4 linked regions of the Drosophila melanogaster genome follow. Changing the gene in region 4 together with the main gene of any one other region gives a genetic interaction. Each region holds a gene or a part of one and is shown on either strand. Other genes may lie near its edges.

Evidence for each region.
Region 1: of mbl (region 4) and Galphas, changing one enhances a phenotype caused by changing the other (phenotypic enhancement), as found in Drosophila melanogaster (one study listed by BioGRID).
Region 2: of mbl (region 4) and Dp, changing one enhances a phenotype caused by changing the other (phenotypic enhancement), as found in Drosophila melanogaster (one study listed by BioGRID).
Region 3: of mbl (region 4) and CG31751, changing one enhances a phenotype caused by changing the other (phenotypic enhancement), as found in Drosophila melanogaster (one study listed by BioGRID).

The regions. Positions count from the first base shown.
Region 1 is NT_033778.4:23,940,728-23,947,465, forward strand, and holds Galphas (G protein alpha subunit s), read left to right. Parts: upstream 1-1,810; 5' UTR 1,811-1,874; exon of another isoform or gene 1,875-2,087; intron 2,088-3,249; exon of another isoform or gene 3,250-3,502; 5' UTR 3,503-3,737; coding exon 3,738-4,013; intron 4,014-4,079; coding exon 4,080-4,176; intron 4,177-4,232; coding exon 4,233-4,353; intron 4,354-4,968; coding exon 4,969-5,097; intron 5,098-5,170; coding exon 5,171-5,350; intron 5,351-5,409; coding exon 5,410-5,534; intron 5,535-5,710; coding exon of another isoform or gene 5,711-5,719; coding exon 5,720-5,793; intron 5,794-5,873; coding exon 5,874-6,020; 3' UTR 6,021-6,209; downstream 6,210-6,738. Other genes in the region: Taldo (transaldolase), read left to right, coding at 330-453, 513-1,287; orcokinin, read right to left, coding at 6,364-6,613.
Region 2 is NT_033778.4:13,220,784-13,228,255, forward strand, and holds Dp (DP transcription factor), read left to right. Parts: upstream 1-1,649; 5' UTR 1,650-2,262; coding exon 2,263-2,329; intron 2,330-2,807; exon of another isoform or gene 2,808-2,877; intron 2,878-3,391; exon of another isoform or gene 3,392-3,679; intron 3,680-4,538; exon of another isoform or gene 4,539-4,628; coding exon of another isoform or gene 4,629-4,683; coding exon 4,684-4,841; intron 4,842-4,907; coding exon 4,908-4,968; intron 4,969-5,025; coding exon 5,026-5,155; intron 5,156-5,218; coding exon 5,219-5,552; intron 5,553-5,620; coding exon 5,621-5,856; intron 5,857-5,916; coding exon 5,917-5,999; intron 6,000-6,062; coding exon 6,063-6,146; intron 6,147-6,202; coding exon 6,203-6,387; 3' UTR 6,388-6,962; downstream 6,963-7,472. Other genes in the region: CG17059 (uncharacterized protein), read left to right, coding at 1-120; Fsn (F-box synaptic protein), read right to left, coding at 499-593, 657-1,021, 1,079-1,386. UniProt on the Drosophila melanogaster protein: Component of the DREAM complex, a multiprotein complex that can both act as a transcription activator or repressor depending on the context. In follicle cells, the complex plays a central role in the site-specific DNA replication at the chorion loci.
Region 3 is NT_033779.5:18,675,222-18,683,245, reverse strand, and holds the start of CG31751 (uncharacterized protein), read right to left. Parts: upstream 6,026-8,024; 5' UTR 5,774-6,025; intron 4,531-5,773; exon of another isoform or gene 4,408-4,530; 5' UTR 4,393-4,407; coding exon 4,085-4,392; intron 3,616-4,084; exon of another isoform or gene 3,542-3,615; coding exon of another isoform or gene 2,147-3,541; intron 2,092-2,146; coding exon of another isoform or gene 1,288-2,091; exon of another isoform or gene 1,171-1,287; intron 982-1,170; coding exon 857-981; intron 802-856; coding exon 1-801. Other genes in the region: tos (tosca), read left to right, coding at 1,288-2,091, 2,147-3,541; Mst36Fa (Male-specific transcript 36Fa), read left to right, coding at 6,314-7,008, 7,074-7,237, 7,289-7,680, 7,738-7,983.
Region 4 is NT_033778.4:17,263,667-17,268,521, reverse strand, and holds the start of mbl (muscleblind), read right to left. Parts: upstream 3,005-4,855; 5' UTR 2,311-3,004; intron 1-2,310. UniProt on the Drosophila melanogaster protein: Required for terminal differentiation of photoreceptor cells. Vital for embryonic development.

The sequences.
Region 1 (6,738 bases), 6.7 Mb from region 4:
CATTAACGACGGGCCATCGGATCCGTCGTGTCTGCCGCAGTGAAGATCAAATAAAAGTGAAAAGCAAATCCGAGCTGACTTTAGTTTGACCTTTGGTGCTTACGTGTGTTAGAAATGTGACCGCTATAGTAAAGTGTACTATAGAATGCCACCAGAGATAAGGTTTCGGAGCAGAGTGCCAAACCTGCTCAGACATTTGAAAAGTTCAAAGATATTTTCGGTCGGGCGATTGAAAAATGAAAGTCGCTCAACAGGTTTCGAGGTCTTTCTAAAATTCGCAATGTAATTTGGCCCCGCACTTATGCAAATACTTTACACATTGCTTCCAGCCATCAACATCTATAAGCCCACGGATGCCACCACTAATCCCTCCCTCATCTTGTCCGCTTCGTCCATGGAGCGGTACCAGCCGCTGGTCCAAAAGGCGGTGGAATACGCCAAGGGCAAGAAGGGGTAAGCAGTTCACTTGGGTGTTTGCCACACAAAGCTACATAGAATACCATCGTTTGCAGCTCCGTGAGTGAGCAGGTGGCCGAGGCCATGGACTACCTGTGCGTGCTGTTCGGAACGGAAATCCTGAAGGTTGTGCCCGGTCGCGTTTCCACCGAGATCGATGCCCGCTTGTCCTTCGACACCAAGAAGAGCGTGGAGAAGGCCCTGAAGCTGATCGCCCTGTACAAATCCCTGGGCGTCGACAAGGAGCGAATTCTGATCAAGCTGGCGTCCACCTGGGAGGGCATCAAGGCGGCCGAGATCCTGGAGAACGAGCACGGTGTGCACTGCAACCTGACGCTCCTTTTCTCGTTCGCACAGGCCGTGGCTTGCGCCGAGGCCGGCGTGACCCTCATCTCCCCGTTCGTGGGCCGCATCCTGGACTGGTACGTGGCCAACACGGATACCAAGAAGTTCGAGGCGCTCAAGGACCCGGGCGTGATCTCCGTGACGAACATCTACAACTACTACAAGAAGTTCGGCTACAAGACCCTGGTCATGGGCGCCTCCTTCCGTAACGTGGGCGAAATCAAGGCCCTGGCTGGCTGCGATCTGCTTACCATCAGCCCAGCGCTGCTTAAGGAGCTGGAGAACGAGACCGAGTCGGTGGTCACCTACCTGTCCGTAAGCAACGCCAAGCTGCAGGACATCGAGAAGATCACCGTCGATGAGAGCCGGTTCCGCTGGCTGCTCAACGAGGACGCCATGGCCACCGACAAACTTTCCGAGGGCATCAGGAAGTTCGCCGTGGATACTGTTAAGCTGGAGAATTTGATTAAGACCTATCTTAAGTAGATGTTCCTCTGGGTCCGCTAGCAGGTGGAGGATGAATACATTCGTTTTTGAAAAAGACAATGATTTTATACTTTAATAAACACTACAATTAAAAGAGATGACAAGATTCAGTTGGGAGTTATGGAAATTATTAAATGGGTGAATAGGTTTGGCATGCAAATAGCATGATTACTCGTTGCAGATATGGATACGAATAATAAATACTAAAAGTTTACAAAATAAATAAAATTTGCAAATTATATCACAGATAAAGATACTTTTTTTTTGATACCTTATCATAACAACTTCAAACATGTTTTCTACACGCCCGTGTAGAATATCTATGTAAGCCTGTAGAGACGGCTGCTTATGTAAAGTATCGGACGGGTGTTTCTGGATTTCGCTATTCTACATAGCTCGGGATACTTTATTTTATTATTAATATTCGCTAAAATAGCACATCGTCATTTGGCATAGATGTTTTTGGCCCAGTAACATATCTATCTACATCACCGCCCGCACTATCCGATAGGCAGACTGACTATCGATAAAAGTATCTACTTCGTTGCATCCCTAGGTTGATACATAAAATAAAAAATATATAAAAAGTGAGTTAGTACTGGTATTAAAAGTAATTTTTAAGCTACAAATTGATGAATTGCGAGCACACAGAGACTAAGAACATTGGGAATCCGGAAAACAGTGGCTGGCGCGTCGGGTGCGATAGAATTGCCTGTTTTTCAGACCCCAAAAGTCGCTCCCAACCGAGTCGTGCACCTATAGTCTTGGCCCGAAGTTGCTCCCATGAATAAAAATGTTCGGTAATTTCACGGTAAACAATAACCATTGTCGAACGCAGGGAATAGTCGCGTTCGCACACGTAATTGCCATCGCGCAGAGATGTGATTCGCCCCTGCAGCCCCTCGATCTCGACCGACCTCCCGATTTTCGGACGTCCTGCGTCCTGCGACCTGCGACCTGCGTCCCATGTCCTTAAACCTGAAATCAGTGAAAAATCGTTCGCGCATGAATATCCAAAATACAATCCCATCCATCGAATTCAATCCATTCGAATCCAAACCAATCCAAGCAGATGCGTTGCGATGCGATTCCATTCCATTCGATTCGATTCGATCCGATTCGCGATGGTATAGGTATAATATAGTTTTTCTAACCAAGTGTCAAAGAAATGGCAAATATTTCGGATTCGGAGGCACGGAGCACTACGTATTGATATATGTACATACATTTATTTATGTACATCCATCCATTCACACATGCGAACCGAGAACTTGTGTATATATCTAAATACATACGCACGTATATACGAGTAGATACACAACGGTGTGTACTCATATCTGTGAGATATATATGTGCCCGTGTCCGTGTCCGTGCCCGCTTAGATCCCGATTCCGATGCCGATGAATTTATGTACATATATTTACATTAAAATCTGCATATCTGCCATATCTGGCATATCTGCCACCACCCCCTCCGCCTATATAGGTATATGTGTAGGGTATAGTACGTTCATCTTCCTGCGACTCCCGTCGGTCGGCAATAATTGCTAGATTAAATACTCTTAATATTCGCGTGCCTACACTCATCCGTAAACCCACATACGAGCTAATCGAATCCGAATCCGCGTATCGGACCCATCCATTCCATTCGAGCCTCAACTGCAGATGGAATTATGTTGGGTTGGTATCTCTATATACATGCGTACCTGCTGCCCAGTATGCGCGAGAGTGCCACCCTCTCCGCCCCCTTCTTCACCTGTTACACTACGCCGATGTTGTGGATGTCGATGTGAATGAGAATGTGAATATGGCTGTGAATATGGATGTGAATATGAATGTGATGAATTCCAATCGTCCGACGCGAATGTCCAACGCGAATGAACGCGCGTTGCGTGGAGTAATTTTTGATTTTGATTTTCATTCCGATTCCGATGCTATGCGAGCGCTTTTGGGACCCGAAACCCAGTGACTCACGGGACTTTCGTGGGCGGCAATGTCAGCGGCGTCGCCTTGGCTTAGTAGGCACCCATTTTGGTCGCTACACTCGCGCGTACGCGGATGATATGGGGGCACTGAAGTGGATTCGGGATTCTATGCAATCGAAATGGGTTTCTGCTGGAGAATCTCAGTTAGTGGGAATAGAAAGCTCGAGGATCGTTAGTTCTGAAAGTTCTGTTACTCATTTTTCCATCTACTATACCATTGTACGAATGCAGCCTGCTGCAGAGATCCACTGAAGCGCTGAGCCAACGCCAACGGTGGTGCCACTGAGATCGGAGATCGGAGATCGCAGACCGGAGACCGACGAGCACACAAGGGATTGTGGTTTGATCCGAGGAACCCAAGCACTCAGCTATACTGGAGCAGAACGGAGAAAGCACAAGGGGTGCCGAGTCGCCCGACGCGAACCAGGAAAACCGAGCGACGTGTTGGTGGACCCCGTGGGCTGCGATGGGTTGCTTTGGGTCGCCCACCTCCAAGCAGTCGGACGTGAACTCGGAGGACTCGAAGAGCCAGAAGCGCCGGAGCGATGCAATATCTAGACAGTTGCAGAAGGACAAACAGCTCTACAGGGCCACACACAGGCTGCTCCTCCTGGGGGCGGGCGAGTCCGGCAAATCAACCATAGTCAAGCAAATGCGAATATTGCATGTCGACGGATTTTCTGACTCGGAAAAGAAACAGAAAATTGATGATATTAAAAAGAATATTCGAGACGCTATCTTGGTGAGTTCCATCCCGCCGGCCATCTAAGCCCAAACACTTGCTTAACTCCTTGCCAATCCCTTACAGACTATTACAGGAGCCATGAGCACACTTAATCCACCTGTAGCTTTAGAAAAGAAGGAAAATGAACCCAGAGTGGAGTACATTCAGGATTATGCATCTAGTAAGAGCCTCTGCCGCCCCAACTTAAGTTGTTATCAACCATTATCTGCCCCGCAGGTCCGGACTTTAATTATCCTCCTGAATTTTATGAACATACAGAAGAACTATGGAAAGACAAGGGCGTTCTTCAAACCTATGAGAGGTCGAATGAGTATCAATTAATCGATTGTGCGAAATAGTAAGTAATGCCCACCCACATTTAACATCCTGCCATCGATGTGTTGAGCCAAACGAATAGTTCTTGTAGCACTACAAACAGATTTAATTGTTTAATTTAATTCATCTCGGAGTGCATGCCAATTGTTCTGAAAGCTTAACTATGTGTTTCACTTGGAAGTGCAGAAATTCAATGCGTTGGATCGAAAGTATGCAACTTTTAATTCTAACAAGTAATCCGCTTGATGAAGTAAACTTTAAATATCGTCGCTTTGCTGCAGTATGACTATCTGAAAGTAGAACCACAACCTAAACCTACTTTCGCATTCCATATCTGTCTGTCTGTACAATAATTACTACAATATATGGGTTTTAGAATGAGTCCAATTCTTAAAAGGAGCTAGTAGTCGAAGTAGTACCAACTACGCCATGCACATAGAAGTATCGTAACGATCATACTTTTCCAAGTTGAGAAGGCTTTTTGTTTAATTCCCCGAAGAAACAAGTTGCTAAACACCAAGTCCCAATTTTCCGTAGTTTATGCCAGCTAATCCGCATTTGTACTTGTATCTAAGCTTGATTAAGGCACTGAAACCGAATTTGTACTTACTTCTACACTTGATATTCTGCTTTGAAGCTTCCTGGACCGAGTGAGCACAATCAAGAATCCAAACTACACCCCTAATGAGCAGGATATTCTTCGGTGCCGTGTTTTGACTTCTGGAATATTTGAAACAAGATTTCAAGTGGACAAAGTAAACTTTCAGTAAGTGTAATCCCAAGTGATATCGCAATATTTTAGTTTCTATTCCATTCTAATGATGTGCATTCGCGTGCAGCATGTTCGATGTCGGTGGCCAGCGGGACGAGCGTAGGAAATGGATTCAGTGTTTCAATGATGTAACTGCTATCATATTCGTAACTGCGTGCTCAAGTTATAACATGGTTTTGCGGGAAGATCCCACCCAGAACCGACTTCGAGAATCTTTGGATTTGTTCAAGAGTATTTGGAACAACAGGTGAACCGAGCAATTTGGCGCCATCTCGACAAATGGAAACTAACGAGTTGTTCTTTCAGATGGCTTCGCACGATTTCTATTATACTATTTTTAAATAAGCAAGATTTGTTAGCAGAGAAAATTAAGGCTGGAAAAAGTAAATTGTCGGAATATTTCTCCGAGTTTAACAAATACCAAACGCCAAGTAAGTAAAATAGTATAACCCATAGTAGAGGCCAATTGAGGGCGAGGGAGTCATCAGATCAACCGACTCAGATCTGGCCAAGAAATTCGCAATTCCTTTTCAAATTTGCAAACCGTGCCCAAGTTAACTTAAGAAATTTAATGGATAATGTATTTTGTCTAATTTCAAATGTGCTGTCGACACAGGTGACGCAATAATGGAATCCAATGATGACCCAGAAGTAATACGAGCAAAATATTTCATACGAGACGAGTTTCTGGTGGGTTATATCACATCTCCGTTTCTTCCTCCACCTATCTAACTAGCCTTAATCCTTAATGGGATCTCTTTCTTATATAGCGTATATCTACCGCTAGCGGAGACGGAAAACACTACTGCTATCCACATTTCACATGCGCCGTTGACACAGAAAACATTAAACGTGTGTTTAATGATTGCAGAGACATTATTCAAAGGATGCACCTTCGTCAATATGAATTGTTATAGGTTATCCCCATCGCCGTAATGCAAGTAAATAAAAATATTAATGACTTACTGTTTTAAATATAATTATCAAATGTAATTTGTATTTAAATAGTCCCTTGATTAAAACAAAAAATTCGCTGCATTTAGATCTGGTATGACCTTTCACAAAACTCAACATTAAAGAATAATAAATAAACATGTTAATAACAGACACGCTTGTTTCGATTATTTTGGCTATTCTACCAGGATGCACCTGCTTTATTTTCTATAGTCCCTTGACATGAAGCATTTTAGAGTATTTCCGCTATCAGAGTCCGTATCCATATCCATGGGCATTTACATTCACGCGCTGTCGAAGGTATCACTAGACGAGCTGGTTGAGGATGCTGAAGCTGGCGGAGGCCTTGTCGATCTCGTCGAAGTTCCGCTTGAGCTTACTGCTCCAGGTGTCCTTGTACAGGGGGTCCATCCTCACCAGGTAGGGCACCAGGTCCCGGTGATGGCCAGACCCGATCTTGCCGGCCGCGCACTGCTTCACCGAGTACTTCGTCTTGAACTCCGACTGGCTGCACTCGTAGCAGACGACCGTTTGTCCATTGGCAGCCGAAATCAATCTGGGGATCAGGGCATATGTTTCAGTGATTGGGAAGGGGATTAGTGAGTTCAGTGAGTAATGGCAAATAGGCGGGCAAGCAGGCACTTTGGCTGCCGGTATAGCCACGTATTATTCGGATCTGTT
Region 2 (7,472 bases), 4.0 Mb from region 4:
ATGATGATGGACCACCTGCCCTCCAACGATAAGCACGTCCACGCTGACTTCTACAATGATTTTGATGATCTGTTCGATGAAGACAACTGGGCCAAGATGAAAACCGATGGGAAACAGTAGAGGCCACCACGCAATAAATGGATTGAAAGATTTGTATTCGCGACTCGTTCTTCTGTCTGTAATTTTACTTGCACAATCAGCGATCATTGGTGTATAAAAAATTGCTTCAACTATTGTTTAATCGCTTATTATATTCATTTGGTTCGTATAACTAAGGTAAATTGCCATGTGAGATAGTGCCGAGGTGGATATGAACTTTGGCTTAGCGTAAATCAACAAAATGCATAATTTTGTACAAAAAAACGAAACTATTAACTAAATTTATCGAACTGAGTTTCAGGTGGAATGAAGCAATCATAATTGAGATAAATACAAATGTACACAATAACCTAATGGATCCGTGGAAGTTGTTAACCAAGTTGTAGGCCCTCTGCAAAGCTATCCGTCCAACGGCGTGCCCAGATAGACCATCGAGACCTCGGTATTGCCGTAGACAGCGGATACTGTGGGATAGAGCTTTTTGTCCGGCAGGCCTGCAAGGTGAAAGTGCATAGAATCGTTCGTATCGCTGGTATCACCAAACTATTTCCCCTTACCCCGGAAGGCCACACCGAGGAACTCGTAGTTCTTCTCGAACGACAAGGTGTTGTCCTCGCAGTCGAGAATGACGCGTATCCGCTCGCCCACTTGGTACTTGGGAGCATTGTTCAGCAGCGGGTAACTGCCCTGCATGTCGCCGTTGTGCAGCAGGTGGTTCTCGACCAGATTCCAGCCCCAGCTCTGGTCGTCGGAGCCGAGCAGAGCCACATAGCCGTGACACTGTAGAGCCGCCTCCTTGGTAGATATGCCGATGACGGCCACAGTGCCCAGCGGTCCCTCCCATATCACCTCCCAGGTGTGACGACCGTGGCGGAATCCTATCTTGCCCCGGGCCGCGTCTGTGCTCTGCGCCACGGGATTGCTGCGGGAATGGAGGGACATACATATAACGCCGACTCAAGCAAACCGAATACCTTACCGATGCAGGGTGAATCCGTTCGGCTTAATGTACACATTCCTCGAACAGTCGTTGGGGCTCCAGGCGTGAAAATAGGCCCGCAGCTTCGTCTTGTACGTGGAGACGGAGGCCAGCAGGTCCGATTTGAGGGACTCCTTGGGCAGCTTGTTCAGGCAGTGCCAGCGCCAGACGTCGCTGTTCTCGTCGTTGAGGAAGTGGTACCAACTTTTGCACACCTGCGAGCAATGACTGAGGTCGTCCAGCTCCAGGTAGGAGAAGATTACCTCCAGCACATTGTAATTGCACAGCGCCGCCACCGGATCGACCATTGTGTGCGTGTGCGCTCCGCTGCTGGGCTCGTGTAGATAGCTGCTTGGATTTACCCGTTCCTGTTGATTGTCATTTTCCCACACCAACCAAATGGGTAAAAATAAAACTCGAAAACTTTAATATTCTGCGATTCAGGGTGACCGTTGGCGGGCTGCCAGCGAAATACCGCTCACCTGGACAAAGTGGCAACTTTGTTTACATCCGCGACCAGTGTGCGATAGCGACTGTCGCACACAGCTGCTTACAACACTGCGTAAATTGATGCGTAAATTGGCGCGCACTGTCTGCCATTTCATTCGCACCCGCACACAGCCTGCTTTGCCTTTCCCACATGAAAACGAAAAGCAGCCACTTGGTGGAAATTTTGTGACCATTTTGTTGCGCTTAGAAATTGCGGAAATTCGCGCTGCTGCCAGCCGTTCGATAGCTAAAAGTTCGCCGTATCTTTTGCCACTAATCTCGTGAAAATCCGTGCGCCGAAACACCGCGAAAAAGGCCACCGAAAAAGGGCCGCCGCTGTGAGTGTGTGTGAGCAGCAGAAAAGAAAAAAAAAATGCCCTGCCGCTGGAAGTGAAAAATGCGCTCGCCATTTTGACTTGGGCGACACTTATTTTTTGTACAAGTGCGCTCCCCATTGCAGTCGTCGTCGTCGTGGTCGTGGTCCGCATCCGGATTTGCACACGTGCCCCAGTCCGTGGGTGCAGTACGTCCGCCTATCCACCGCCGTCGCCCATTCCAGCTCCATTTGCCCCCCCCTAGCACACACGTTGCGGCGAAACGGCACGTAGCACTGCTCTTTCCTTTTGTTTTTGGCGGTCCACCTGGTGAGCGGTAAGCGACAACAACAAGATCACTTGATCTCCGGCGGCCGAAAAATGGCGCATTCGACGGGCGGTACGGTGAAGACCGATGAGGTGAACTTCTTCTTCCGGAACGAGCACGGTAAGTGGGCGGAAGCGGTGTCCTGTAATAGGAGTTTTGCTCACGATGGAGTGAGTGCACTCCCTCCCTCCGCTATAGTCCATCATACACACACACCCCCTCATACACAAGGCGACCCACACAGATACGCTACAAAGTTGCATGGGCAGCGTAAAACGCCATCTTTGCTTTTTCGGGTTTCTTTTGCCTACCGTATTCATCGTTTGATACGCTTTGCGGGGGGAGGCCAGCGAGACGAACCGAAAAGAGTGCTAGAAATTGGCAAAAAGTAATAATAAAAGACAGAGACCCCCGCGAAATAACAACTTATATCAGTAAGCCACCCAGACCCGCCCCCTTCTGCCATCTACGCCCATCGCCCAGTTGGCGCGCTTGCTCACACACACACATGCACGCACACTAGCACGCGCGCGTTTTCTCCTACTTATTTTTTTGTTTTTTCATTGGGCGGCGAACAGCTGATTACTTCGCCGCCACTGCGAATTCGCTTTGAGGATTTAGCATGAAGTGAAGTAGTGATAAATCGTTGATTTCAGCTACGTACAAAGGTATTATTGTGAGGGACATTGTAAATTCAACTTGAAACAAATGTATCTGAACAGCGTGACATTCTGCCATATCTTAGCGAGTGGGAGAGAGACGGGGCGCACCGCCAAGAGAGATCGGGGTGAGAGAAAAAAGGCCACAGCAAGAACAACACTGCCACACACACACACACGTAGTCAGCCACGAAGCTGAAGCCCAAAACAGGCGAGAGCAAATAGGTGTAAGCGCTGTACACGTGTGTAGTTGTCCGTCGCCGCGTTTATGCGGTATTTACCGTACCCCGCAGTACTGAACTGATTAACTTCATGAGTTTCATTCAGTCATGATAGCAAAGAAGAAGATATGGATAGCTTTATGACGTGCTTTTATTTGTATAAAATGTCTCTTTAATCCCCAATATGTAAAGAAATAGTAATTTTTAATCAGTGATATTGCTCTTTGTTGAATATGAAGCGCGCATAAACGCTTTATATAGACCAGTATATCAGCCTGTTCGTACCAGCGAGTTACCTGGTTTGTAGTTATCTGCTGGTTGACTGGTGCAGACGAACTATGGAACTGCTTCTCCAATTGTAGGGATTATGGTTTCACCTGCATTTTGGGACTCTGCCTAGGCATTGTAGGATAACTCCCGCCGAGTTTAAGACTCCCATCGTTACCATCTGGTGGGACAGTCCGGCATTTTCTCGCATGTGTCCGCTGCTCAAGCCCCCGTGAGTCTGACTCACTTGCAGGTGTGTGTGCGTGTGATGTGCCCGTGGGTGCGGGAGAGTTGGCAGGTATTTTTAGCGCTCGACCCTTTGCGGTTTTTGTTTTGGGCATCTTCATCTCCATTATGCGTTGTCCACCTGCTTTGTTGTTATGATTATGCAAATATTGGGCTGGCGACAGGTGAACAATTATTACATCGAATGAATACCATCTAAAACTGGAAATGTTTAGAAAAGCCGGTTGGATACGAAACCCAGGGGTGCCAACCGAGTAGTCTTAATGGGTTTCCGGTTAATTCTGCCTTGATATTATAGTTGCTTTGGAATGGAAGTGCTCATAGTGTTGGATATACCAAATTAGCAGTAAATAAAATTTACTAAAGAACGCAACTAAGAACAGTGATTTGAAATGTCACGCTTTTAAAAATACTAACCGGTATCATATTTGCTCTTACTTTTTCTTCTGCTTAGGCTTCTGCTTGATTTATTGTCTTTCCAGTTAAAAGTCGAATTGTGAGTTTTAATGGGAAACCTATAATCGCACTATATTTAATTCAAATTATATTCGAACTTGGATTAATCCGACTAATGACTGATCAACAATCTTGTCGAGTCACGAACTTTAGTATCGAACCATCTCTAATTGGTTAAGGGTCACGTGGTTGCCATCACTAATGTCCAGGCGATCTGGTTTCGGGTTGTTTATGCTTCTGCATTTGTATCCTTGTCACACCGATTGAAACACACGCACACTCACCACCAGCACGTGAGTGTGGGTATACCTTGTGTGTATGTGTGTATGCACCCCAATCTTAATGTGCCGCTCGCCTTTCGTTGTTGTATTCCGACTCCAGTGCGCTTAACTCGCTCCATTCCATTCTCTTCACTTCGCTGCGATGAATTCACCGTATATACGGCGAAAAAACGCATCGTTGATAGTACCACACATACATTCAGTTACTCGCTAACACTCTGACACCCATGTGTGTGTCTGTGGAGTACATGCAGTTTTGTTATCAACGACGGCATTTCAGTCGCGTGTTATGTGTATATCGGAAACTAAGGAACCTCCGCATCTTCCAATTTCCAATTCTGCAGGACAAATATCCAAAATGCTGAAGCCGGCCCAGAACAAGTCCGAAATGGAGGGAGGTAAGCCCGTGGCGGTGGTCTACGCCACCGGCTCATCCGCGCGCAACAGCGGAAGTGCTAGCGGCATCGGCAACGTGGGACGCATGGGCGCCTTTAGTCAGATGGTAAGTGTAGAACGCGGTTGCTCACGTTGCTTACACTTAGTACCTAACGATCCGATTTAAACGCAGGGCAGTCAAGGGCAGTTTATACGACTGCAGGACAACGGACTGTCCATTCCAAAAACAGAAGGTAAGCGTGTGATCCTCCTCTTACCACTTCAATTAATCATTGTATCCCTTATTGTAGCAGGTACCACCTACACCACCGTTTCGGCGCAAAAGACTTCGGGTGCTGGCAGTGGTCATTACGACTTGCCCTTGAAGGGAGATCGCTATGTGAAGTTTACACCAAATCCCATAAAAATGAAATCAAAACTGTAAGTAGTAACCAACCGAGCAGGATCGAGGAGGATACTATAGCTTTGTTCCTTCCCAAACAGCCATGCCATTCAGAGCAACTCGTTGCACTCCATGTCGGCCTCCTCATCGTCCGTTCAAAGGAAACGCAAGCCGGACAAGGCAGGCAAAGGTTTGCGCCATTTCTCGATGAAGGTATGCGAAAAGGTGGAGGAGAAGGGCAAGACCACCTACAATGAGGTGGCCGACGACCTGGTCAGCGAGGAGATGAAGAACAATGCGTACGACAACAACTGTGATCAAAAGAATATCCGACGTCGTGTCTACGATGCGCTCAACGTACTGATGGCAATCAATGTTATTTCCAAGGACAAGAAGGAGATTCGCTGGATAGGACTGCCCGCAAATTCGACAGAGGTGGGACTTGTGTTCACCAAAGGCACCAAACTCCATGCTAATGTGATTATTTTGTCCCCTTTTCATAGACATTTCTGGCCCTGGAAGAGGAAAACTGTCAGCGCCGCGAGCGAATAAAACAGAAAAACGAAATGTTGCGCGAAATGATCATGCAGCATGTGGCGTTCAAGGGATTGGTCGAGCGGAACAAGCGAAACGAGAGCCAAGGCGTGGTGCCTTCCCCGAATGCCTCGATCCAGCTACCGTTCATCATCGTGAACACGCACAAGTCCACGAAAATCAACTGCAGTGTGACCAACGACAAGTGAGCGCTCACACTCAGTCGGAGTATGGCTTGTATTCTATTTCCCATATATCGTTTCAGGTCCGAATACATATTCAAGTTCGACAAAACCTTCGAAATGCACGATGACATTGAGGTGCTCAAGCGTATGGGATTCCTATTGGGTGAGTGTGTTTAATATTGGGCATTCGGGATAAGAAATTCATTGCATATGCTATTACCTGCAGGACTGGATAAGGGCGAATGCACGCCGGAGAACATTGAACGAGTCAAGTCGTGGGTGCCTCCAAACCTTGCCAAATACGTAGAAGGTATGACCATATATTGTCTTCCAATTCACTGTTATTAAACTTTATATTTGGCCCAGCCTACGGCACCGGCAAGACTGGCGAAAATATGTACGAATCGGATGACGAGGACAATGAGTTCAACGGGTACCTGGAGTCGGCCAATGAGTCCCAGGGCTTTGCACAACACTCGGCACAACACACCACCGATGGCGAGTTCAAGCTGGAGATGGATGATGACGAGCTGGACGACGACATTGATTGAGCTGATGGTGCCGCCGTCATTGTGCCAGCCATGGCCGATGCGGACACGGATGCGGATGGAGGAGCAGATGCTGATGCGGAGGACACGTTTAGTTTTACGTTTATCAACGCTTTGTTAGGTTTGCCACGGCCCCCTGGTTAGTCAGGAGCCGCACTCCACTCCAATCCACTCCACACCCAATCCGACCCACCCACACAATTGGTTTTGTTTACTTCTCAATGAGACTCTTAAATTATATATATACAATCTCGCAGCGACGAGAAAGATTCGGTAGTTCATGTATGTAAGTGTAGTTTGCATACACAGTTTGTAATTGTATCATTGAAGATTTATGTTTAAGCTGAAACGTTTTTAAAATAATTTGTCTAGTTAAGGAGAACGCGTTTTTAGTTCAAACCACAATTCACATAAGGCAATACCGCGAAACCACATGCCCAGACTAATGTTCACTCTCTAATTAGTTGTTATCAGTCTCCCTTTTCCCCCCAATGGCCTTTTCATGTTTGGGTAGGCTTAAGCAAAAGCGATAATGTTATGGGTAATTGTCTCTTAATAATATAATATACCAAAACTGTACACAACCGCAGTGAAATGCAATTATTTTTAGAATGCCACGAGCAGTTTGAACTGCAGACAAGAGCGAACATATGAAATATGTTTAATTTGCTAACACCCTTTGACAAAGCGATTCTTTTAGATTCTCAAAACCCAAATTTTAAGTTGACAAGGGAGTGCAGATAGTTGCGAAATAATCAACCTACCTAATTAGTAATAACAATTAAAACACGATATACATTTTCAGAATTTGTATTTATATTATTGAACCCTCTTCAAGTGAATACAACAGCATGCAAATACAAATTAGTAGTCAAGTATAAGGCGTTAACAATTAAGTGTCGAGCATGTAGTTGTGTAATGAAACGAAATAATTGCATGGATGGAAAGGAAATTGCAAACAAGTGAGACGAAATCGAACCGAGTGACAAGTTAATAAAGAAGTAATTTGCATATTGTAAAATATGATAAACAGAGAATTTAATCTTTTCCTCCCTTCTGCTTGCACCCAACCCAAGCAATAAGTCCAA
Region 3 (8,024 bases), on a different chromosome or scaffold from region 4:
AGTACTGGTGTCCAGTGCTTGCCCACAGCTCATCAATATCGTCAAAGCTCTCGCGCCACAGCTTCTGAAGGAGCTTCCATCCCTTTTCCTGGGTCACCAGGAGGTACTCATTTGTGGGATGCAGCGTGTGGGTGTAGAGTCCCATTACCAGGCTCTGAACAAATCGGGCAGTAACACAGTACTTGAGAAGGGCCAGCTCGGAATTCTCAATTGGGTTCAGACTGGTATAACCGGACAGAAATATGCCACCATTGGCCAAATCGTTGGCCTGCAGTATCATATAAGTGAGGGCAATTCCAATTTCGAAGATCAGTGGCGATTTGCTCGTATCACCGAAATCAATAACTCCCTTGATGGTATATTCAGTTTGATTGGGCACCTGCTCCACCACTATATTTTGTTCGTTGAAGTCCCCATGGATGATCTGGTGCTCCATGGATGGCAGTTGGCTCAGAACCTTGGCTTCAAAGGCATCGATCACCTCGTCGCAGATAAGCCGCTGCTCCTGATCCTTCACCACGTACAGGAATTGCCTAAGCTCGGGAACACTCTGAAGCATCCACAAGGTCTTGTGGCTTTCATATGCCTGGTGGGTGAAGTTCTTGAGGGCTCGATCCAACCTGGCCAAGTATTCGCCGCTGCGGTAGAGCAGGTGCTTCGTCACCGGCACCTGGTGGAAGATTTCTCCCGGTATAAATTCCAGCAGTCGCACCACATTCGAATTCCCATTCAGCCGTTCCACAGAGTAATACTTTCCTGTTGCATTGGCTACTGGTCGTGGGCATTTCACACTGTGTTTTCCTAGGGAATACGATTGCATTGTCAATTTGCTGATGATTTGGCTAGCAATTCTTACCCAAGTAAAGCAGCATCTGGTTTTGGGCATCCACGAAGTCCTCTTTCTTAGAGTCCAGTGAGTTGAGGATTTTCAGGACGTATCCGTGTGGACAGTGGGTTACAATGAGGGGGTTCTTAACATTACTGCAATACGGAAATGTATTCAATAGGAAATTACTTATCTTAAGGAGTAAATAAAAAATGAGGCATAACAAAGCGCCACATTCATAAAAATACAAAATAATATCTGTTAGAAATATTGAATTATTTTTAAAATCCAAGTGTTGGATAATGATAGACATATGCGTTCCATGTGAATGGCAATTCGAATTTTTTTTATAGCATCGCACTTTGGTCACACTGATGCATTGGCAATTTTGGCGCTAAGATCCGCAATTTTATTAATTGTTTATTTCGTTTTTATATGTGTTATTGTTGTTGGTCCTAACCATGGGCATTACCGGCCTAATTCCCTTCGTGGGCAAGGCCTCCTCGCAGCTGCATCTAAAAGACATTCGCGGCAGCACAGTGGCCGTGGACACATATTGCTGGCTACACAAGGGAGTCTTCGGCTGTGCGGAGAAGTTGGCCCGCGGCGAGGATACGGATGTTTATATACAATACTGCTTGAAGTATGTGAACATGCTGCTGTCCTACGACATCAAGCCCATTCTGGTCTTCGATGGGCAGCACTTGCCGGCCAAGGCTTTGACCGAAAAGCGGAGAAGGGACTCCAGGAAGCAGAGCAAAGAGCGGGCGGCGGAACTCCTTCGATTGGGTCGCATCGAGGAGGCCCGATCCCATATGCGACGCTGCGTGGATGTCACCCACGACATGGCGTTGCGGTTGATCCGGGAATGCCGGAGCCGGAATGTTGACTGCATTGTGGCGCCCTACGAGGCCGATGCCCAAATGGCCTGGCTGAATAGAGCAGATGTGGCCCAGTACATCATCACCGAGGACTCGGACTTAACGCTTTTTGGAGCCAAGAACATCATATTCAAGCTGGACCTCAACGGCAGCGGCCTGCTGGTGGAGGCGGAAAAACTTCACCTGGCCATGGGCTGCACGGAGGAGAAGTACCACTTTGACAAGTTCCGGCGCATGTGCATCCTATCCGGCTGTGATTACCTGGACTCACTGCCTGGCATCGGACTGGCCAAGGCGTGCAAATTTATACTAAAAACGGAACAGGAAGACATGCGAATAGCATTAAAAAAGATTCCAAGTTACCTCAATATGCGCAATCTTGAGGTAAGTTAACTTGCGGTTAGGTCTGAATTGTAAGACTAATAATCCTTTAATCCAGGTAGATGACGACTATATTGAAAACTTCATGAAAGCGGAGGCCACCTTCAGGCACATGTTTATCTACAACCCGCTAGAGCGTCGCATGCAGCGGTTGTGTGCCCTCGAAGATTATGAAACTGATGAGCGCTACTGCAGCAATGCTGGCACCTTGCTGGAGGATAGCGAGCAGGCTTTGCACTTGGCCCTAGGCAACTTGAACCCCTTCTCTATGAAGCGACTGGACTCTTGGACACCGGAAAAGGCATGGCCAACGCCGAAGAACGTGAAACGATCCAAGCACAAAAGTATTTGGCAAACGAATTTTCAAAGCGAAAACACTCACACGCCGAAGAAAGAAAATCCGTGTGCCTTGTTCTTCAAAAAAGTGGATTTTGTGGGCAAAACTCTAAACGAGGAAATCGAAGCTAATCAGCGACTGGAACAGGCTAAACAAACGGAGGCCGAGTTGTTTAACATGTACAGTTTCAAAGCCAAAAGGAGGAGAAGTCCGAGCAGGGAAGATTCTGTAGATCAAGAACGTACACCTCCTCCGTCGCCGGTGCACAAAAGTCGGCACAATCCATTTGCCAAGGAAAGGACTGGAGAAGAAGCTAATCAGCGATCCCCAGTAGTTTGTGAGAATGCCTCTTTGCTGCGTTTGCTTAGTCCGAAAAAGGCAAGTCCGTTGGATGGAGAAGCTGGTGTAAAAAAGGTTGATTCGCTTAAAAGAAGCATATTCGCCAAGGAACAAGTTCAGATCCGAAGTCGCTTCTTCGCCACGCAGGATGAACAGACAAGGCTTCAAAGGGAGCACTTAAGAGATACGGAAAATGACGATATGGATGAGCAGAAGCTGAGCTCTCACTCAGGCCATAAGAAACTAAGACTAGTATGTAAAGACATTCCAGGGAAGAACCCAATAAGACAACGTTGTAGTTCACAAATCAGTGACGGTGAAACAGATACAGATACCACAGCCTCTTCTCTTTTGGAATCACAAGATAAAGGTGTTCCTTCGCCTTTAGAATCCCAAGAAGATCTCAACAACTCTCAACCCCAAATACCAACTGAAGGCAATACCAATTCAACAACTATTCGCATTAAGTCACTGGATTTACTTCTGGAAAACTCTCCGGAACCCACTCAGGAATCCGACAGGAACAATAATGATGCCATCATTCTGCTATCGGACGACAGCTGTAGCTCGGATCAGAGAGCATCATCTACCTCATCCTCCAGCCAGCAACGCCAGAACTTTTTGCCAACCAGCAAACGAAGAGTGGGGCTGAGTAAACCCTCCACTGCCAAGAAGGGCACTCCTAAATCTAGGACGAATGGAAAACTGGGTGCCGTGAGCCAGAATCAAACCAAGCTCAGCATGTTTGGCTTCCAGACGAAACCTGTCCTCAAATAGATGGCTCTTCTAGATTGTAAGCTTTTTGTTCTCTAGATTTATCTAATTTATTAAAGTGAAGAGCTGAACTGACTACATCAGTGCTGAATGCCATGAATCCATCAAGATAGCAATTGCGATGCTGGCAAGGTGACTGTCGACTGCGTCACACTCAACTGCCGCGACTAACAACTTTAATTAAACTGGGTATAAATAGATGCTACATACCGCCGCATTTCTCCGGCTCATTATTATTTGTTTTCGTGTTGCACAGTCGTACTACGAACAGCAGCTAAAATTGCAGTCATGTCAAAGCACAGAAAATATGTTGTGTTGATGCTTTAAAGGAGATATTATTTCAAGCAACGAATTCTTGTGTTTACTATATAGAAGACTAATCCTGATCTAAATGATATATTATGATGTTTGAAATTGCCTGTGCTAATAATCTGACTGCAGCTGTATGAGATGCTTACGCTGAACTCCCATACACGAGATAAACCTCCGGATGTGGTGCGGGATTGGGAAAGGGTGTCAGCGAGATACTGTCATCGCTTTGCTTACCTATCCTCCTTGACAAAGAAGTTGCGATCGTCGTAGGCGACGATTTCCTTAACCTCGCTTATCGTGATCCCGTAGAGGCGACGCAGCAGGCTCTCCACGTCCTCGGGCTCCACTTTTGGGCGCACGTCCGATCCTGGCTTGAGGAGATCGCCATCTGCAGCTGTTGATTCATCGGCACTGGTGCCATTGCCATTCGAGGACTTTGCCGTGTTTTCCTTGTTCAACTTCTCGGCGGCATCGTAGGCATGATTCAGGGTATACGACTTTTTGGACATGTTCGTCAGCTCCACATTGTTCCACTGCTCCATTTTATTTTTGGGGCTCTATCGGAGACGCAAAAGACCAAAGGCCAAGAAACCGTGAGTAAAAAAATATCAGTTAGAAGACGAATAAGAGCAGAGGTGGAAAATGTTTTCGGTTGCGCGTTCTCCAGCGAAATGAATTGTGTTTCAGTTTGCGTCTCAATTGAAACGAGTTCGTCGACGTCTTCTCCATATCTTTTTCGCCAGTTTGTGTGCGTTCAAGTACAGTCAAGCCTCGTCTATATAATCCACAATCTTAAGTTAATAACAATTTACAATAAGGTCGAGTTTTAAAGAGCAACGTTTTTAAAGTAAAGCTTTAATTTTTATATAACATCTTACTAGCTTTTCTTTTTAAAGCCTTTACAATGATTTTTAGTTATTTTTTCTGAGATTCTTATGGCGAACCTTTGACTGTAGCCAATTTAGAGCTAATTAATGATTACAAAAACAGAAATTGTGTTTAAAGGCTAGCCAGTTTAAGCATTAAACATGTTTTTTTCATTTCAAACATAACGTTTTGGTTAATTATGTTGGAAATTTAAGGTTTGAGTGAAAAATTTCTCTAGAGTTGGTATTTTTGTTATGCCAGGGTCGCCTTGATCTGCTTAGAATTACACCTCGCCGGTATCTGATTAGCGGGTTTCGACTGTATCTGCGTAAGATTCAGTCCCGTGAGTTTTTTTCCATGTGGGTGAGTGTGTGAGCTTCTGTCGCCACTTGCAGTGTTAACTTGGCTATTTGCTTAATTGCTTAAAGTCGGACGAGCCTTATTTTCGACATTTTTCGGTGCTTATCAGGGGGACAGTGGTTTCCCAACCGTGGCAAAGCAAACTGTCAGTCGTGATCGGCTTTGGTTAACGTTCCAGTGGAAACCACATCAATTATATGGCGCATAAACCGAACAGATCGCAGGGATTAGAGGCACTAATATGGACAGAAAGAGGGAAGAGCAAATACCTTTTTCAGGTCATAAATTCAAACGTCAGTGGAAAGGTTTTCAAACCCGTACCGATCGATGATAAGCAGGGCAAATGGAATATATGCATGTAAATATTTGGGCGGAGAGAGGCGATAATAATTGAATTTAAATGTACATAAGCGAGCAGCTATCGAAGTTTGTCAATCAAGTGCCAATTACTGACCTTGACTCAATTACAGTTTATTGCTCATACGCAGTGATGTACGTAACTACGGTTTCTGGGCTCACACACACACGGCCACAAGCTCCCACTCTGGCGCACACACACACACGCGCAGCTGTGGGTAATTAAAAGCCAAATATAGTGTGCATGTGAGAGACGCAAATATGCACAGCTGACTGCTAATCAAGCACATAAACAAGCCGCCGAATACAGAAACAATAGACTAAGACAAGCTTATTTACCTGGTCACGGAAAATGCACCTGAGTCTCCGAATCGGAAAAGTGGCCAACTAAACTTAGCAACTGAGCGCCGCGGATGGAAACTGGCCAAGCAGAGGAGAGTCGATTAGATTCGGTCCCACCTGTGAGATTGCTTATGTAAACTGACAAGCGGAGCAACTAACTTTGATTAAAACAATAAACAACACTCGAAAAACAATGAGTAAAAAGAATAAACGAACGAACACATTCAAAAATTCAAAGCAATGTGCAGCCGCGTTGACATGCGAATGGCTAGAGCTGCTGCTTCTATCCACTGCCTAATCAGCTGTTTATTTGTTCGCTTTGCAACGACGCTTGCCAACACTAAATGGCGGGGGATTTGAAATTTATCACCATAAACGATAATAACTCCGTGGTGTGGAATTCAATGCGTTGTATTTAGATTTCACCATCATATGATGGTGTACCAGCCCCTTTTAACATTATTCCTAGAAATGATACTCACAAAAAATACTTCAGAATAGAAAACATAAAACAAAAATAAACAAAAAACTCTAAAAATGCCCCATAAAAAGACGAAGCATTTGAAAGCCGTGGTACCTGGCATGGTTAGTCTCGAAGGAGAGCAATTTGACTCTTGGGAAATTCCCTTTCCCTTGCCGGAGCAAGAAGATCCATCAATGTGCCGAGATGAGTTTCTCAAGGATCTGATAAGGGAGCACGAGTCCCGAGTGGCCTCATTAGTGGTTAGATCTACAGTGCGGGACGTTTCGATAGTCAAGCGGCCAGTGGAGCTCCAAGACACAGATGTAAAGGAAGCCGAGGCTATGGTGGTGCTGCAGATGGCCCAAAAGCGCCAAAGAACGTCCGTAAGGAGAACAATGGAGGAAGTCATAGCCAGCATAAGATTGAGGTCCACCATAATAGCAGATCTCATTCGCCAAGTCCAAAAGGCGGCCATCGAATTCCTATCGGTTCGTCTGCTCAGACAGTTGCGACTCTTCTCGATGCCCTGGCCAGGCGATCTGGAGGAGACCCCAAACAATCTGTTCAGCTGGTCGTTGGATGACTTCTTATTGCGACTGGACGTAAAGCAGATCTACCTTGATGTCCTCAATCGGGAGCGAAGTGTCAAGGATCTTGATTGCGTTAAGTTCTGCAAGGATCTCAGCGAGATCGAACACCTTATACACGAAATTAGAAGAGATTTTCGAGACGACGTAGACCTCTGCGAAAATAGCCTACATTTGTTAAAGTAAGGGTGTTTCGATTGCTTTGTTTAGCTTTAACTGCGACATTGACATATGTGTTCTATTGCAGAAATGCCCAATACCACATGAATGCCCCTTGGGTAAAGAGCCTTAATGATAATATCGAAAATCTGGCATCCAGTGCGTCAGTCGCTTTGCTCAATGAGCAAAGTGGCTCCTTGACGTCGTTACGTCGTAACTCATCGGCAATGATAGTGTTCGAAAGGAAATCAGGTGAGTGGGGTTACTATGAGCCATATTTGGAAAACTCATCTTCTTCCGCAGCCCTGAACCCGATTGAAACGCGATATCAAATCAACTGGTTTAAAAGCTGTACGGATCAGCGTCTGACCCGGATGAACGAAAGAAATGTGGAGATAAAAAGAGAGCTACAAGACCTGGAGGTACAAGCAGTGCAGGATGAAAAGGTGCAGTATTCCTCCGGACTCATGTATGAGTTGGAGGTGGGAAAGCTTAGGGAAAGCATTCGAAATTGGCAGGACCGACTTGATACCGATTTGGAACACGCCGACGTCATGTGCACCGTATCAAGGCTTGCACTGCAAAAGCTTAAGGACGACCTAAAGTTTTACATGGAACAGAAGGATATGTATCTTCAGCGAATCAAAGAAGTGCAAGCACTCATAGATCAGGAAAGGATGATTCGCGAAGAAAGGGTAAGTCTTGGCAGAGAAATCGAATTATGGAGTCATCATTAGATGAAATGTCACTAGGAATTAGCCGCCTTAAAACGAATGTCGAGGGGGTCTTTAAGAAAATCTGTACCAAAGTCTACAAAAAACTTTCAAAAGAAGTCTAAAGGGAAGTCTGAAAAGAAGTCTGAACTGAAGTCTGAAATCAAGTCCGATACAAAGCCTGAAATGAAGACGGAAAGGAAATCTGACATGAAAGCTGAAAGAAAATCCAAAACGATGGCGGAAAAATCTCAAAGAAAATCCACAAATTCTAAAATGGAATAGCATATCCCTTATTTCGGCCCATTCTACTTATATATGTTTAC
Region 4 (4,855 bases):
AGCGATTTAAGGCTAGACCTTTTTATACCTTTCGTCTGAACTCTGACACCTTTTCGAGTGCTGTCATCTCGCATCAAAACTGAAATCGCGAGCCGAGCAAACAAACACGGACATATACAACGCTATTTCCACACTTTCGACAACCGAAAGGGGGTGTTCCTATCGATATTTACGACCTATTGAGAAGAGCTTAAAGCACAAAACCCTCTTACTACAAGTCAAACACATATTTCTCACAGCGACGTTTTTTCTTGCCTCGTCTTTTTGTACTGCGGCATGAGTTTTTGGCGAAAAATCGAATCGATTAGTCATGCCAAAAGTCCTCAAGTTTTCATACCAATCCCCTTCACCAACAAAATATAAAACCGTCTTGTGGCATTCGTGGCGTTTTGTAGTTATGGTTCGAGTTTGATTTTTTGAGTACGTTCGGAGGAGAAAAAGTGAATGACTTGTCAGAGTGTATTGAACAAATGGACAGAAATAATAATTCATTTTTGGCATTTTCCAAACGATTTCTTTGACTCATATTTCTGCAGCAACACATTTTTGACACTTTTGTTGATGATGATGGGTAAAAATGAAGAGTAAAAATAAAAACGAAATGTGTCAAACTTTTGCTTTTTGTTTTCCAGTTGCCAGCGGGCAGAGCTAATTCAATTTGCATATCTGAACTGGAGGAAAACGAAACAAATCGGAAAAATTATAATAACAATCTTTTTGCAACTGAAACCGAAGCTAGGACCGAAATAAACATAAATTTAATGGTTACGACTTGGCAAGAGCGAGGGGTGTGGGTTTTTAGGTGGAGAACCACATAAAAAACGTGACTTTTCGTTAAAATAAAATCTATGTATTTGCATGTGCGAGTACAGTGCGTTTCGGGATCGTATTTCCCATTAATTCGTCTCTAAGACCCTAAAATGAAATCGATTTGCAGTGTCAGAACAAATGCGGTAATTGAATCAGTTTCGTTTAACAAAATAATCACATTAAATTTAAGAATCATGTCTGTTTTCTGTTCGGGTGTCTAAGCCCATTAAATATCGTAAGCTTTCAAAACAATTTGATTTAGCCATTAATTCCGTAATTGCCTGTTTGCAGGCGTTTTGTTTTATTGTCACGTGTGTTTCTTTACAACTGGCTAACAGTGTTGAAACGCACAGTAAAAATCGCTCGACTTAGATGTATTTTTTTTTTCTCCATTTTGTTTGTTTAATAGTCTAGGCCTTGTCCGGCTTTAGAATAAAAATGGCTAAATTTGCATTATATTACAACGCGAATATTTGTAGTTTTTACCGTGCTTTTAAGTTAATTAACTCCACAGATGATATATATTCATGTTAAGCTGTTAGGGCGCTTTCGCAAATAATGTGGATATATTTAACGTATTTAATGCCCAATAATGTGGAATAACCATTCCCATTTTCACTCTGACAAATTTGGTTTGCAATTTGTTGAATTTTAATTATTATTTCACAGTTCATTAGGCTCAATTTCAATTTGATTTTCGGTCATTAAGCTTTACCAAGCCAAGTGAACGAGATGTGCATTATTTTAACAGATTAAGCAAGTTTTTTTTAATGATTATAATACACTTATTAATGCAGAATTTATATTTTTGGCCGTGTAAAGTAGTTTGTTTTCAATAATAAATGTATATTTGTGTATATTGCTCCGTACTTTTTTATATTTTTTGGCCTGAACAAATTTGGTAAATAGAATTTTGTTGTTAAATTATTTAAATCAAACAATATAAATTAGCCTCCGATATATATGCATATGCATCTCTGTAATATTGAATACGTCAATGTTTCTGCACCTTATTCAGCACTAAATAGACTCTAAGTAAGTGACTTCTTTTGCAACACTGTAATTATAAAACACTACCAATGAGACTTTATGTATGTTGAAATTAACTTTTTTTTTTAAACTTTAAATACCGAAGTTTTATTGGATGGATACTACACTTTAAAACTACATACACCTTATTAACTTTGAAAAACATTAGTTTCCTTTACGTTTACTTATGTTAATTTTCTCCCATTATTTCTTCTTCTCCAGTCTTGAGAACAACTTTCCTTACAATATTAAGTTTTCCCTGTCATGAAACAGAATTTCCGACTTTTCACTTGGCATCACCGAAAATTCGACAGCAATAACAAACAAGACCACGAAATGTGGCAAGAAAGGGAAGAGACAAACCGATGGATAGAAAAAAAACATAAACTTAAGACGAAGGCGAAAAAAGAGAGAAAACAAAAGGAAAAAAACACAACGATCTCTTTTTTTTTTGTTTTTAAGTATAAACACCTTCGGTTGTCCAGCTGACTTGTTGTTGTTGCTGCTGGCGAAGTTGAAGTTGTTGAAATTGTTGTTGTTGGGTGAAAAAGCGGCTGCTGTTTTATTTTCTTGTATTTGTTTATTGTTTTACTTTTACGCCGATGGTGAATTGAAAATGTATTTTTAACCTTTTTTTCTCGACGCTCCGTGGTGTGTGTGTGAACTAAACACGCGCGTTGTTGCAGAAGCTGTTGTTATCGTTGGTTTTTAAGATGCCGGCTAAAAACAATGGATTTTGCGATTTTTCCGGACAATTTCCCTGCAGCGCTTGCACTATTTTTCTTGAATTTTCACGAACGACTTTCGACAACTTCTTTTTTTCTCCTTTTATTATCTGTCACACACAGAAACGAACACACGCAAACACTCTTACTGAGCACCTCACATACACGTGCACTCGCGTTGTTGTTTTTTTAGTTGTATTTTTGACAAATTTTTCCGCGTTTCTAGAGTTGTAGGCTAAAACTTTTTTGATGACGGCGTTTTGCAGAATTGTGATTATTTCTGTTTGCGGTGACTGAGCAGAAAGTATTGTGTTTGTTATTATTTAGCTGAGAGCTGCTATTTCTTTGATGGGGTTTTCTTGAGTTTTTCAGGCAGGCTCTGGTATAATTCACTTTTCCGCTGACAGAACCGCTTCCATCGAAAAATTTTTCGAAACTGAAAGCAGCAATATTTTTCTGGTCATTCCATTCCAATTCGACTCGAAACTCTCTCGCTCTCTTTCACTCTCTGCCTGTCATTCTCTTTCGCTTACGCTTGCACTGTGGGGCAAAAAACCACATACTGTGGCATTTTAGTAACTTCAAAACGTTGTAGCATATAAGAAGTGGAAAAGATATTCCAATTTATATATTATTTTGTATATTAGTGTATAAATGCTTGACTAACTCTTTTCGTCAGCTTAAATTTTATAGGTGTCAACTGTTGCAATCAAACTGTCAACCCTCCATTCAGTACGAAAAAGTGTTTGTTTGTCCCACAGTCCGACGAGCTCTCTTGTGTGCTCTTAAAGAGTACTTTTATCCAATGAAGAGAGTTCGAGTGTTTTTGGTTTTGTTGATTACCGAGGGGGGTTTTTAGGGGTTGCCGAGTTCAATGAAGGCGAGTCGAGTTGACAATCAACTAAAAGGTTAACTGGCCAAAAGTAGACAGACTTAAGCTTTTGGCGTAGGTTGCGGACTATAAAATAGCCTGGCAACTAATTTTTGCAAATCGGTGACTAAATTAACGGTAGAAACTAGATAATGTATTTTTTGTGGCTCTCTCAAGCCTTCGATAAATCTTTTTTTTTTAGGTGATAAAAAAATTTAAATGTGTAAAACTATAGATAATAATAGATAATAAATATGGACATATAAATAGACATTTTAGGAATTTTAATTTCTAAAAATCTTTACAATTTTGACACAAGTGATTGGGCACGTTATAATTATTTAGGGCTTATGTATATTATAATTATTATATTATAATTATGCTTAGTGTCATAAATTTGCTTTGATGATTTTCTGTTCATTTTAAGTCGTCAGCTTAAGTACGTACATATACAAAACAATTATCTTTTATTTTTGGAAATTTTCATTATTTTTGCTAAGACCCCATTAAAAAAGGTTTTTTGTAAATCTTGAATATGTATAAACCTGCACCTTAAAGAATATAATTATTAAATTATTTTTAACAAAAAACCATTTGTTCTACTTATTCATGCAATGGCCAGGTACATTTTTGAAAAATACCATTGCTCTAATTGTTCACACACCGCAATGATAATTAATGTTTGCTTGCAGTTTCCATTTGGGCCTAAGGACAGAAATAAGTGAACTTAGTGAATTGGAACTTTGTTCGCTCTGTCAAAGTCACCTTCAAAATGTGTTCGATATGTTCTAAATCATTTACGTAAATGCATCCCATCCATAACGGTATAGCTATATATCCGAATGCAGCCCAGCGGGCCAGAAATAGAAATATGTAACGCACACACACAGCCACAACTCTTGACATTTCTATGTCATAAATTTGTTTCGTTCTTTGGATTTTTTGGCAACAAAAGATATGGTCCTAACACCCCCCACATGGCAATTAAAATATGTGGTGTAGGCGTGGAAAGGGGGGAATACCACTAACGCACACCATGCACCACTCCGTGTAGGTTAATTGTAATAAAAAGTGAATGTAAGCGATTTCAAGAACGAAAAAAACGAAGTCCAACGAGAACTGGCATGTGAAAGCCAAATCCATATGAAAGGGGATAGAGAGAGAGAGAGAGAGCGACCCGACCCGAACCAGATGCAGATCCAGATCGAGGAACGCCCCCGCAATGATTTTAGCTCCACTATACGGTGGATATACCCCGCCCCCACCAGGATTTGATTTTTATTATTAGAAGTCCATCGGTGTTTGTGTGAGTTCACTATTTTTAAACGATTTCAAATTGGAGTTTTTGTCAGTGACCCGAAAGAGAAACAAAGATCGCTAATGGAGCTCGGGGGCAAGTGAAAGGTTTTTTGGTCTGCAA